Linked DNA regions of Daphnia pulex. Each later gene encodes a partner of the first gene's protein in a complex. Links are inferred from orthologs where the notes say so. Each region holds a gene or a part of one and is shown on either strand. Other genes may lie near its edges.

Region 1 (4,430 bases):
TCAAATTCCATCGCTATGATTAATTTCAGGTCGATGTTTTCACATCTCGTCACTTTCGGAAATAAAAGCAAAAAAACTAATTCGCCGTGAGCGATCGAGTTTCATTCAGCATACCAGTAATCAACTAGTGCGGATATACCCGAAAGGCTCGCGAACTGACAGTTCGAACTACGACCCATCACAGTTCTGGAGCGCAGGCTGTCAGATAGGTTTATAAATAATTATTTCCTTCTTACCATAAAAGAAAAAAGAAATACTATCAATCAGTAAATTGAATTGTCTAGTGGCTTTGAACTACCAAACAAGTGGAATCTATAAAGTTATCAACGAGGCATTTTTTCAAGTTAACGGAAAGTGTGGATATGTGCTTAAGCCAGCCGTCTTGCGTAAGCCAAAAATGGGAGAAATTCCGGAAGCGGAAGCTGGATTGTGAGTTTTGATTTTGATTAGAAATGATCACGTAAAGAAATTACTATTTTATAGATCGGGTAGCAAGGTTGTTCGACTTCAAATTATAAGTGGACAAAATCTCCCGAAATTTGAAAAGAAAGTCATTGATCCCTATGTTACGGTTCAAATCATGGGTCATCCGGCTGACCGCTTTAAATTCAAAACAAAGCACGTAGACGATAATGGTATGTTTTGACCAATTTTAAGTTACGCTTTAATTTGCATTTTATATTTATCTCTATTTATACCCAGGCTTCAATCCCTGTTGGAAAGAGACGACCGAATTTCGATTACGACAGCCTGAATTAGACCTTCTTGTTATTTCGGTTAGGGACAAAGATCCTATGTCGGACGATGATTTAGTTGGTGTAAGGGTAGTCCCAGTTAAAAGTTTAAAATCAGGTGTGTATAGAAGAAATATATGTGTATCTATCATTGAGAAAGTTAACATCCAAGTTCTCGTTTTGTGTAAGGTTATGGACATATTTGCCTATTGTGTCGAGAAGGAAATCCAATACCGAACGCAACTATATTCCTTCATGTATCAATTCGTGATTTGCCATCTGCATAGTAGGATTCTGCTAGCACTTCTTCCGTACTTGGTTCTTCGATACCGTGCGGTAGGCGACCATAAAAAACAAAATTGTAATAAAAACTATCCAATCCAGTCAGACTCAATAATAACAAAGGTCCTTTTAATTACTGAAAAGCTTTTTGCGGATTGACTGCTGATGCTATGTCAAATCATATGCTTACCCTTATGTCTAAAACTGTCCTTTTTTTGTTAAAAAAAGTATAAATACATGTCTATGAATATTTGAATCAAATTTATGAAGATGGGGGGGGGGGGAGGATCTCTGAGTTACAAAGAACAGTCAGAAATATCTGTGTTTCAAATATACTCTTAATATTTACCACAAAATGAATGGTTACTTGAAACAAATAACCAATATTGGTTTGCGAAGCTTCTGAAAGAACATTATCCAGCCATTTCTTTTTTTATTTGTTATGCATTACGTTTCACCGCTCAAACGAGCGGCTCACGCTAGAATTTTTTAAAATGAACAAATACACCTATTATTTATTAAGCTTAAATATAATAATAGTAGTAAAAAAAACACTAGCATCTTGCTTATTTTAATATTTTTCTAACATAACTTCCAAAACGTTTTTTTTTCAACCCTGCAAGTTGCAGGCTGCAACCGTTCAAAACATGGAGAAAATATTTTCATATTTTGACGTCCAATATCGTCTGCTGTATTCAGTTGACACTACTCATACCTCACTGTCACCGGTTGTAGCAGTTGTTTTGAATACAATTTTTGCAGTGCTCCATCAGTAGTTTTGCATATATCACATTAGGATGGGTTTATTAAGTAATCCATCCGATAAACAATTGTCTCCTTTATTGTTAAAATTTGTTGGTAAGCAGAAGGTGCTGTCCAGCTTGTTTTACATTGGAAGCATTGTGTGGTTTGTTTGTCTTGCCTATCGCCAGTTCAACGCCGGTAAATTCCTCATAAAATTTTATATTTTGTTTATTATACATTGTTTCATGATAGGAACTTATTTCTCTGAAAATGCATTATTACCTGGTCTTGTACATTCAAATTTTAAGGAAGATTTCCTTGCCCGTCAGTATGTAGCTGCCATTAAAGTAAGCCTAAGTTATTTCAAAATGTATTCCTACATACATTTCATGAATTTTAACAATGAAATTGTTTTTGTCTTGTGTAGGCAGAAGCTGAAAGATACCCAAATGGAATGCCCCATGCATTCATTGCTGCTCAGTTCAAACAATTAGGATTAGATACATTCACCCACAACTTTTCTGTCAAATATCCATTAGATGAAAATGAGGTTTTATTGGAAAATATTTATTATTTTTTTCAAAATTTAGTTACAATTACATTCTTTTTCTTAGGTTTATTCTGGCAAAAATGTTTATGGCATTTTAAGAGCTTCAAGAGGGGCTAGTACAGAATGCCTTGTAATGTCTGTTCCTTACCGACCTCCTGATTCTGTACTGACGGGAACCAACGCTGGAATTGCCGTTATGCTTTCACTGGCAGCATCTTTTCGGGGTAATTATGAGTATTAGCGTTGTCTATTGAAAACCGTATTCTGTTCTCTTTTTTTTCTTTATTTATTATCATTTTTTACATTACAATATTGGGTAGGACTAATCAACGTAAATTCTTTTTTAGCGGCCTCATACTGGGCTCGAGATGTTATTTTTGTTGTAACCGAGCATGAACAACTTGGTATGGAAGCTTGGTTAGAAGCTTATCACTATACATCGTCTGGTTCAAATTCAATTGATTTCGGGCAGTTGGATGCCCGTGCTGGTGCCATACAAGTGCGTCATCGTATATATTGTTTTCGAGTAAACCAGCTAATCCATTGAACAAATATGCATATTAGGCTGCAATCAATTTAGAAATCCCATACGAAAAGATATCTCATATCGATGTACGAATGGAAGGGTTGAATGGGCAACTTCCAAATTTAGATCTCGTTAACCTTGTGCATAGACTGTTCCAGCAGGAGAGATTTACAACCACTTTGAAAGAGAGGGTGAATTTTTGTATTAATTGTCGTCATCTTGTAGCTAAATCTAAATAATCGTCCTTTTATAGGAGGACTATCCGGATCCTCTTAGCATGGAAGGTTGGATATATTCCGCTTCGTCATTACTGACTTTAATGGCCTCTCAAGCAACTGGAGTGCCCACTGGAAACCATGGCCTCTTCCACCGGTCTGTGATGTCCACTTGTTTGTTCTACCATGAAAACAAATAGTGACAAATTTTTTGTTGCCTTGATATTTGTCTCCATAGGTTTGGAATTGAAGCCTTAACAGTGGCTGGCTCGTATAAGAGAGGGTGGCACGGATCAAATTTTCTGTTGATGGGAAGGTAATTTGAAAATGACTGAACGTAGCTAGCCATTCGAGTGATGTGCACTAATGTTATCATTTAAATTTTTGCTAGAGCAATCGAGGGTATCATGAGAAGTTTGAACAACCTGCAAGAAAGATTTCACCAATCTTTTTTCTTTTATCTATTACCTGCTACCAATCGCTATGTTTCTATTGGTAGTCATATATTTTCCAACATTCTATTTCCGTAACTATTACCCTTTTTTTTATTTTTAGGTGTATATATGCCGCCATTTGGGCTTATGATTGGCTCGATGTTATTACAAGCTGTTGCACTTTATATATCACGAAAAGAGAATCCAAATGAAAAACAAAATTGGAATTTCCTTAATTTAGGCTCGTTTGTGTTGTATAGTACGATTTGTGGTTTGCTTTTTTACTCAGCGCCCGAAAAACTTACAAGATTTAATCGTTCTATGGCATTGGGGCTAAGCACGGAAGACGTTGTTTTTGGAGGATTTTGTATGCTCAGCGTAATTCATTGCATTTTAACTTCAACTGTTGGCGTCAGGTATTATGATTTTATTTATTGAAATTGTTCTTATTTAAAACAAACACTTTCTTTTCACATTTAGAATGCTGTCCATCCAACGATTATCTGCCAATTGTGTTCAATGCGCAATTCTTTTACTAACATCTACTCTGATGTACGCAGTTGCGATGGGCAATATTTCCCTAGCCGTGCTCACTTGTTTTATAATCAGTCCGGTATTTTCCATTGCCAAACCAGTTTCCCAAAGGTTTGCATTCGTTTGTATTAAATTCTTGAAAACCTTAATAGCAATTTTTTCATTGGTATTAGGTTCTTGAAATATTGCCGCTACGCTGTGCTAATGTTAGTACATCCTCTATCGCTGCTCTTTATCGCTACACTTATTGATACTTACAGAGTGTTTCCGGAGGAAATAAATCAACCTTGGAAATTTTTCGGTAAAACACATACAGCTGCCCAGCGTGCTCTGATTTACGCGGTTGTTGATGGAACGTTTTATGGAAATTGGCTTTTCTTTGCTGTATCAACTCTTTACTTGCCGCTATGG
Region 2 (3,729 bases), on another chromosome or scaffold:
TGAATTAAAACCAAGTGACATTTCAGACTATACAATTTCTGTTATTATGTCCATACAGTTATTTTTATACTAAATAAAGAATCAAAGTTGATTTTAAAGCGTGTGTATTTTTCCCATAACATAAAATTGATTGGAAACTATTGCAATGCGTTCCAAATTGGCATTTCTCATAAATAATTGGCACACAAAATGACAATTGACTCGGTTGATGAGAGCGCCAATTATTAGTAACCGCCGCAATCGCCGCCACCCAGGAAACAGGATTGAATAGAGGTATCGGGATTTTTGCAGTAAGGCGATGTGGGATCCCGGCAACCTGTTTGGCTTCCACTGCAAGTGTAAAATCCTTTGTAGGAGCATTTGCAGGCATTTCCCGAAGAAGCAGGCTTGCTAATCGAGCAACCGCCGCTGTGATAATTGCAATCACACGCCATCGCCGAGTAAGAGGATAGGACGCACAATAAGACCAACACAAAGGCGAATCGCTGGGATAACAAAATTCAAACATTAAAAAAATGTTATAAAACAAAATACAAAAATTCAATTTGAATTCTTAAGGGTCATTGTGTTAAGTACTTACAAGCATGGAGTTTTGCAACATTTTCCTTGTTTTTTTAACACTTTGGCTAGTTGACTGAAGAGGAAGAATGTAGTTGGATGAATGTTGAAATGTGAACAAGTGTTTCGCGTTTTATACCATGGCCTCTGTGTGTTGTAAAAACGCCTATTTACTTTACCTGTTTGAGTGGTGGACCTTTCAACTTTTCATCCTTTGTGCAAGTTCACTTTTGAAAGTTAAAGGATCAACGACACGAGCTGAGATAAATTTTAAACCATCCCTGCAATAGGCATGATAGTAATTTTAGCTCGAGCAAGTTCAAGGGCATTGAGTCCATTGACCGATCAGATTTATTAATGTTTATCTGGAACTTTGATTTCGGATAGCGCTGAATGTGAATGACCTAAAATAAAAATGTTAAAAAATCTTTCGAGAATTGTTTATTATATTACTATTAGGTATTAACAATTTAGATAATAAGATCACTCATTGCACATTGGCATAAAGAAAGATATATAATCAGATTCACGTTCAAATTCAATGAAACACTAAAATCGACCAAATACCGCATAGAGCAACTGCAAATCAATTGGCATAACACAAATTTTCAAGATGTAACGTCGTCTGCTTGTGATTCTGTCAACATCCAGCAACACCAGCGTTCTAAAGTGACGCACCCGGCGGTCTTTGGAAATGCCCAGTTCATGGAAAAGTAATGCTTTAGGTGTAATAATACGTGCATGGTTGTTCAATTCGGGATTTCACGACTCGCTGTCGGATAGAGTGGAAATTTCGACTCCACTGAATTCGTGGAAGCGAGGTAAGAAGAAAAGCTACAGAAACGTCGATTGCACCTCTCCTTTTCCTTTCAACTCATTTTGTTTATTTTCTAGTGATTGAAGGTGCTTATCTCCATCAGAGGGCTCAATCTCCTTACGAAGGAGATGTGTTCCATGAAACTCCAACGGGGCTCGTTTTCTATACTTATTTATTGAAACTGAATTTCAATGTCCTGCAAGCAGTATTCATTTTGTGTGATGTCCTTACTGCATTTGTGTTGACTGAAGCAACCAGGATATTTTTCCAAGATATTGTAAGTACCGATTTGTTTTCCTTTCTACTCATATGATTAATTAATTCATAATTCAATTCAGGTTAAAGATCAGCAGAACAAAAAGAAAACTTACCATAAAGATGCCAAAAAGATTACGCTGAAGAAAGAAGAAGTTGCTAAAGTTCCCCAGTATGTCACAGCTGCTTACCTGTTGAACCCGTACATAGTGTGTAGCTGTGTAGCGATGACCACCACAGTCTTTGCAAATTTGATCCTATCCTTGACACTACTGGCAATGGCCAAGAAGTCCAGATTGCTCTCAACTTGCTGTCTTGCCTTTGCCTCCCACCAGAGTTTTTATCCAGTTATGCTCGTGGTACCCATTGCCATCGCAACAGCCAAGGAGAAGCAATTGTTCAAGTCAGTCTTTCTGACCATCTTCAGCTTTGCATTCTTTACAGCATTATTGCTGTGGTTCTCTTACCATTCAACGGGAAGCTGGCGGTTCATCGAATCTACTTATGGTTGCATGTAAGTTGTTTTATATTTTATGTTATTTAAGATTTTATAAATATTCTCTTGTCATTCTTTTCTTTTTTACAGCTTGAAGGTGCCTGATTTGACACCCAATATCGGTCTCTTCTGGTACTTTTTCACCGAGATGTTTGACCATTTTTATCTATTCTTTACTTACGTATTCCAACTCAACCCTTTCATCTACGTCATTCCACTTGCTATACGATTCGATGATAACGTTCCTTTGCTGAGTTTCACTCTGTGCGCCATCATGGCCATTTTCAAATCCTACCCTTCGATAGGTGACGTCGGATTCTACTTAGCCCTCTTACCCCTTTGGAATCACCTAGTCCCTTGTAAGTTAATACCGCTTTACCATTACTAATTGAAATCCTGTTTTAACAGCAAAACATTCCTGCAGATTTTAGGCACTCTTTCATCGTTGGCTGCATTTTCTTGGTGACTTCGGTCCTAAGTCCCATCCTTTGGTACCTGTGGATCTACACTGGTTCTGCAAATGCGAATTTCTTCTTTGCCACTACGCTGGCATTTGCTACAGCTCAGGTATAAATTTAAAGTAAAACTTGTCACGCCATTCGAATTCATTCATTTTACATTCAACTGTTATTGCAGATTTTTCTTCTGACGGATGTACTGTTCGCCCAAGCAAAATATGACTACCATCTCAAACACGGTATCGACTTAAAAATCAACGGTAAAGAAGGAATGCTAGTCTTGGAATGATGGCCATGATTGTGTATTATTATTGTCATCATATACAGCCACTTTTCTCTATGCTAATTTAACTAATGTAATTCTACTACCGAAGTAATTATTTCTCACTCCTCTCCATCGACGACACATCCACCGAATCATAATTGTCCTCTCCGTATTTATTATGGAGAGTATTTCCAAAACATCATCGGTGTATGTTTTCGTCGTCTAGTAGTAAAAAAATTGGAATTTAAGAAGTTGAGAATTTGTCGGTAGGACTACGATTTTATGTCTGGTCTACGGAAACCATTCTCCGCACGCGTGTATGGTGACGGGGTTTTCTTCGAGGTTCAGCCGACTGATTTGCTGACATATTTCAATGCCGCTATGCACGTAACCGAAGACGGTGGTCATCTGGCTGTTGTTGGGATGATCACGGCATATGACGGAGAACTCTGAGCAAACGTAGACGCCTCCAATCGTCCTTCCGCGATGACGCATACGTAGGGCACCTACAGACTCGTCCAGAGTTGATTGGTCGGCAATGAAACGCTGTGTTCTTCCATCCTGCCACCCCATAGGCAATAAACCAGCAAATCCGTCCTGATCTTGTAGCGTTTCCAAGTCTTCATATTTTCCAGCAGTAAAGGATTCTCCACTTTTATTCTAAAGGGAAAAGTAAATAAATAATGACAGAAACAAAAGCAGCTTATTTAAATTTAATCAATTTACCATAAATATGGAGCATTCCTTGTAAGATAGACCACCGGAACCGGTACAGTAATTCATGAAACGCCTGCTCATCATGGGGGCCTCGTCGAAATTGAGGCGAAAGACGACTTTCGGCTGGATAGTGTTATTGATTCTAAATTGCATGTAGCACATT

What was found.
Region 2: the proteins of glycosylphosphatidylinositol anchor attachment 1 protein-like (region 1) and phosphatidylinositol glycan anchor biosynthesis class U protein-like are in contact, whole or in part, in a cryo-EM structure (PDB 8IMX), measured with the Homo sapiens proteins. The link is inferred for Daphnia pulex from reciprocal best matches to the Homo sapiens genes GPAA1 and PIGU. Residues at the interface, in NP_003792.1 of Homo sapiens: Gln245, Leu310, Arg311, Arg313, Phe358, Leu359, Ile371, Ala389, Leu390, Trp393, His397, Leu500, Ile504, Leu508, Cys512, Leu515, Thr516; in NP_536724.1 of Homo sapiens: Tyr349, Ile355, Phe356, Cys360, Ile363, Val364, Leu367, Leu368, Val371, Leu372, Leu375, Ile377, Tyr378, Ala379, Gly380, Ser381, Phe386.

Annotation. Positions count from the first base shown.
Region 1 is NC_060021.1:10,694,267-10,698,696, forward strand, and holds the start of glycosylphosphatidylinositol anchor attachment 1 protein-like, read left to right. Parts: upstream 1-1,619; 5' UTR 1,620-1,813; coding exon 1,814-1,958; intron 1,959-2,012; coding exon 2,013-2,107; intron 2,108-2,187; coding exon 2,188-2,310; intron 2,311-2,374; coding exon 2,375-2,534; intron 2,535-2,657; coding exon 2,658-2,809; intron 2,810-2,874; coding exon 2,875-3,027; intron 3,028-3,089; coding exon 3,090-3,208; intron 3,209-3,289; coding exon 3,290-3,367; intron 3,368-3,442; coding exon 3,443-3,546; intron 3,547-3,606; coding exon 3,607-3,901; intron 3,902-3,965; coding exon 3,966-4,130; intron 4,131-4,192; coding exon 4,193-4,430. Other genes in the region: 1-phosphatidylinositol 4,5-bisphosphate phosphodiesterase delta-4-like, read left to right, coding at 30-209, 285-429, 484-635, 703-852, 924-1,021. UniProt on the Homo sapiens protein: Component of the glycosylphosphatidylinositol-anchor (GPI-anchor) transamidase (GPI-T) complex that catalyzes the formation of the linkage between a proprotein and a GPI-anchor and participates in GPI anchored protein biosynthesis. Binds GPI-anchor.
Region 2 is NC_060023.1:1,130,816-1,134,544, reverse strand, and holds phosphatidylinositol glycan anchor biosynthesis class U protein-like, read left to right. Parts: upstream 1-1,153; 5' UTR 1,154-1,252; coding exon 1,253-1,379; intron 1,380-1,452; coding exon 1,453-1,652; intron 1,653-1,713; coding exon 1,714-2,144; intron 2,145-2,216; coding exon 2,217-2,485; intron 2,486-2,550; coding exon 2,551-2,693; intron 2,694-2,762; coding exon 2,763-2,873; 3' UTR 2,874-2,930; downstream 2,931-3,729. Other genes in the region: uncharacterized protein LOC124197055, read right to left, coding at 3,141-3,509, 3,576-3,729. UniProt on the Homo sapiens protein: Component of the glycosylphosphatidylinositol-anchor (GPI-anchor) transamidase (GPI-T) complex that catalyzes the formation of the linkage between a proprotein and a GPI-anchor and participates in GPI anchored protein biosynthesis.